Linked DNA regions of Kluyveromyces lactis. Each later gene encodes a partner of the first gene's protein in a complex. Links are inferred from orthologs where the notes say so. Each region holds a gene or a part of one and is shown on either strand. Other genes may lie near its edges. The genes, in order: RPS12 and RPS5.

What was found.
Region 2: RPS12 (region 1) and RPS5 share a complex: the UniProt entries of both Saccharomyces cerevisiae proteins name them as parts of the small ribosomal subunit. The link is inferred for Kluyveromyces lactis from reciprocal best matches to the Saccharomyces cerevisiae genes RPS12 and RPS5.

Annotation. Positions count from the first base shown.
Region 1 is NC_006042.1:18,384-20,774, reverse strand, and holds RPS12 (40S ribosomal protein eS12), read left to right. Parts: upstream 1-1,324; coding exon 1,325-1,729; downstream 1,730-2,391. Other genes in the region: GPB1 (Gpb1p), read left to right, coding at 1-651; RAD17 (Rad17p), read right to left, coding at 1,981-2,391. UniProt on the Saccharomyces cerevisiae protein: Component of the ribosome, a large ribonucleoprotein complex responsible for the synthesis of proteins in the cell.
Region 2 is NC_006040.1:908,969-911,674, forward strand, and holds RPS5 (40S ribosomal protein uS7), read right to left. Parts: upstream 1,278-2,706; coding exon 594-1,277; downstream 1-593. Other genes in the region: IBA57 (Iba57p), read right to left, coding at 2,108-2,706. UniProt on the Saccharomyces cerevisiae protein: Component of the ribosome, a large ribonucleoprotein complex responsible for the synthesis of proteins in the cell.

The DNA.
Region 1 (2,391 bases):
AATTTCAAAATAGTTGACAATATTAACGATGAACCCGTTGTAAACGAGCCGATGATTCCAGGAAGAACCATGAATTCCAGCACTAGTCCCAAAAGATTAAATAAGTCGCTAATAATACATGGAGGTTCCGCAAATAAGTTTATTCACGGTGATATGTGGTGTTATGATTTAGATGAGGGAACTTGGACAAAACTATCATTGAAAGCCAAGGACAAAGAGACCGGAGAGCTCAAAATAGTTGAATTTCCTCTTACGGGACACACTTTTGTACATAATAAACAGATCACCGTGGTAATTGGAGGATTGAGCCAAAAAGACGTGGATTCTTCTTTATACTGGAAAGACTACAAGTATGACGAAAAACATCAACATCCCATGCATGATACCGATGGAACCTTCACGTTCATCAGTTTACCATCTCGGGTAATTAGAAACTTCGAAGTTGTTAACATCATGAATAGAGCCAGAACAAAATATACGGAAGATATGCCTTTGTCTGCGCTGAGACTATCATGTAATCCCATCGTCTACGATCAAGACTACATATGGACGGTAGGAGGTCTTATAACGGATACGGAAAGCTGTGATGTTTTCCTACGTGGTGCAATATCATTGGTAAACTTACCATTGATTGATATCCCAGGTGTATAATGACGGACTTTTCAACGGAGATATGCTGAAAGTATTTATGACATCCGTACTGTCTGCAAACAGCAGTTCAAATTCGTGAATCGTCAGAGTTGACAGAACGACTACTAGACTATAGCGCTTATTGATATTTAAACTACGAAGCGCGACCCATGCTGTTGTATTCATCACTTCTAATCTTAATGAAAAGACTTGAACAAGATTAAAATACCAGTGACTGTCATATTTGTTTGCACCCGTACATATTCCAAAATCCTCCTCAAATCTGAAGAAAACTAAAGAATTTCCAAATATGGCATCTACACGTCAACATAGTACGCGCCACCACGGACTAGTCTTAAGAAAAATGTTCACGAAAACACCTGGACATTACAGCGAAAGAAAAGGACGCAGTTGTTCTGCCCTCCGCTGTCGTCTGTTGATTCTGAAATATCTTAAGTGTTGAACGTATATAGTGCGCTAAACCTTAAAGTTATTTTTCACGGTGAATGGTGGAAGCTTTATATTTTGAATTCCCATGATTTAAGCTAATATGTTGAAGAGTATTGAATAAAACGTTTCGGATGGTCTTCTTATTAGTTTAGTATGTTTTTAGTTTTATGTTATTCTAAAGTCTTCACGGAGCAGTACCACTGTCGAAGAAGTCAATACTTTAGAAAATTTTATCAAATTAGAAATGTCTGACGTTGAAGAAGTCCAACAAGTCCCAGTCGCTGAATTGACCATCGAAGATGCCCTAAAGGTCGTCTTGAGAACCTCTTTGGTTCACGATGGTTTGGCCAGAGGTTTGAGAGAATCTGCCAAGGCTTTGACCAGAGGTGAAGGTCAACTAGCTGTTTTGGTTGAATCGGTTACTGAAGAAGCCATCAGCAAGTTGGTCCAAGGTTTGGCCACTGAAAACAACGTTCCATTAATCAAGGTTGCTGATGCCAAGCAATTAGGTGAATGGGCCGGTTTGGGTAAGATCGACCGTGACGGTAACGCCAGAAAGGTCGTCGGTGCTTCCGTTGTTGTTGTTAAGAACTGGGGTGCTGACACCCAAGAAAGAGAAATTCTTTTGGAACATTTCAGCCAACAATAAATGAGTGGATTTTGAATCTATGTTCAAATCCAATTTAACGCTTCTGTTTTACTCATTTTTCTCATACTCAACAATAACATAAACAGATTTCTTCATGGGAATATGGACATTGTTTGGTTTGATAAAATGCTCTATTTTATAGTTTGTATATATATTCTAGGGTATCTATATGTTTACAAATAGTTTCCATCTATACCTAAAATGACGTTAATTCCAACCTGATTAATTCAGCTTGTCGAAGCAGGGTTGCGCTAGAAGAATAGCGGCAAATCTTGCGAAGCAGCTTCATACCCGTCACTATTTTCCTCTTCTTTATCGTCATGTGCAGTTTTCTTCGGCGGTTGTTGTGTATTGGGAAGGAAATTATGGCGCGATTCACTTCCCATATATTCAATCATCATTACTTTTATCTCATTTACGTCTGGAAGCTCTGGAAGAGCTTTCTCAAGCATGCATATCTCAATAATTATCCCAGGATAATGACTTGGTAGATTGTTACCTGAAATGGCTCTAGTCCTCTTATACTCCTGGTCATTAGGTCTTAGTATATCCTTCGTTTCATTCAATATATTAACAGTCATCAAACCATGTACATCTCTACGTATCATGATTTTTGAAGCAATCCGAGCACTGGCTCGTATTTTGTCTAGCATTCCATAATC
Region 2 (2,706 bases), on another chromosome or scaffold:
AGAATGGTGAGATTAGTCACGTGAGCGATGTTTGTCTGTTGAGGTTCGAAGATCCCGATCGACATAGTCAGAGTTACAGTCAATGAATGATTTATGAGCTAAGCTGGTCTAGCCTAACGTAATGTAAAAACTAATTTGTTTGTTTGTATTATACTATACGAGAAAAATACTTACTAGCTATAGTGGAAACACTGCTTCTAATCTTATATATTGAGAATGTGCAAAAAGTGTAGCGTTTCTTTATTACCTGTGTAAGTGTTCAAAAGGTTTGGGATGTCTTGAATGGAAGAGATAAACGGTGGGATGGATAAGAAAGGGAACCCACGGAAAATGAAAAATTTTGACACTGAATAGATCCCTTTCTTAGGTGGCATTATCTCCCAATTCGATGTGGTAGAGATGTGGTGGTGATTTAGATGTGGTGTATAACCGCGATACAGACACTCGCAACTCCAGTAGGTTCAAAGAAGATGTGAAAATGATTTGTGAATAGCCCGAGATATATCATCAAAATAATATTAAAAGGAAGTAATTAATAAAAAATAAATGTAATGTTTGACAAAAAACATGTAAATATAGTAATAATTCTTTCCTTAACGGTTGGACTTGGCAACTCTTTCCAATTCATCCTTCTTCTTGATAGCGTAAGAAGTAGAGGAACCCTTAGCAGCGTTAATCAATTCTTCAGCCAAAGTTTCAGCGATGGTCTTGATGTTTCTGAAAGCAGCTTCTCTGGCACCGATGGTCAACAAAGCAATAGATTGGTTGACTCTTCTCAATGGAGAGACATCGACGGCTTGTCTTCTGGCAGCACCACCACCACCGACTCTGGTGGTGTCTTCTCTTGGACCAGAGTTGATGATAGCATCAACAACGACTTGTAGAGGGTTTTGGTCGGTCAAAACGTTGATGATTTCCAAAGTGTGCTTGACAATTCTGACAGCCTTCAACTTCTTACCGTTGTTTCTACCGTTCATCATCAAGGAGTTGGTCAATCTTTCAACAATTGGACATTGAGCCTTTCTGAATCTCTTGTTGGCGTAACGGCCAGCAGTGTGGGCAACGTAGATTGGCTTGCTGATTTGGATGTAGTCAACCAAAGAAGCGTCCTTGACTTCAACATCTTCAAAAGACCATTTGTTGAACAACTTGATCTCTTGTTGAGCTTGTTGAATTTCAACTGGAATGGTGGTAGCCAATTCAACTGGAACAAATTCTTGAACGACTTCAAAGTCTTCTTGAACTTCAACTTCAACTTGGGCTTCGTGTTCAGACATCTTGATATATGTTATCTACGTTCCTTACGGTCCTCTTATTCTCGATCAAAACGAAGCTACCTAATAAAGATAAACACGAATGTAATACAAATATCAAAAATAATATCCAATACTGAAAAACCTATTAAACAATAATATCGCCTAATAGTACTGAAAACCTACAAGTCTTCCATAAACCTCTAAAAATTGACATCCTCCATACAATCTATAGAATGAACTACTCTGGAAAGAAAATCAACAAACCTTCGTTGTACCTGACACTTTCTGAGGGGACAGTTCCTCCCGCGCACCACTCCTAGACGGGAAAGGTCCAGGGTCGGCGCTGCTAAACCTAGGCTCGACCTGGTTTCCATCCCGTCCCAGGAGGAGATTGTGGAAGAAAGAAGGTAGGCAGAGGCTTCCACTACTGTGATAGGAAGTCAGCCTCCTGATGCTCCCTGTACAAATTCAGTATGTGTTACTCGCCTCCCACATCGAAATTTGGTGTTAGAATGGTTCGCAGTTTTCAAAATACCAAATCAGGAATATCAATTTTGGATAAACTTTCTTAATTTTTCATATTGAATGTTGGTGTGTGGGTGTTGAAACAGTCCAACATTCTGTCTTCCTATCATGTTTTTTAAGGTACTATCTATGACTGCACAATAATGGCGCATCTTCATTTCCTGGAAAGGCCGACGAATCATTCCGATTCTATCGATGTTCTTAACGATTAAAAGATGCATTGGTACGTGTAATTGATTTCTATAATATTACGTATAAATAGGTATGATGGAATGTCATGTAGTATTGGTGGACGCTCAGTGTATATATTCTTTTCAGACTCTGTGTTATTGTTCTTGTTCTACTTCCTCCGCTTCTGTCTCCTCGAGAAATCGATCCAACCATTCCAATTTTATTGAACATGCGACAGTTTCTTTATTTGGTAGTTCGACGTATGCATCAATATCGTGATGGTGTTTTAGGGCGTGGTAAATGTAGTCTTTTCTGACAACTGCAACTCCGATATTACCGTTATAGTTGATCAATTGTCCGGCCGGTCTGGTCCTTTTCTTAACGGGTTTTGATAAAGAACCAAACGGATTTATGGCTGCTTGAGTGTCCTGGTTTTGTACCTGTAGTTCCAATTTACTGAAAATGCTCAAATATTTGGAGTGATCCCAATCGGCCAATTTTTGAGGTTCATCGATGGTAATACCAACGCATCTTTTTTTCAAAACTCCAGTCGCAAAGGTTCTTGCTGTTAATTCTTGGCCAACGTAACATCCCTTATCGCTGTTTATAGAATCCTCAAAATAATCGAAATTCGCTTCCAATGCTAATAATGTTTCTGGGATGTATTCATGGTTCCCATCAAAGAGGCCAAATTTAAATCTCTCTTTTTGAATCTCAGTAGCTGATATATTGGCCTTTTCGAATGGGTTTTCGC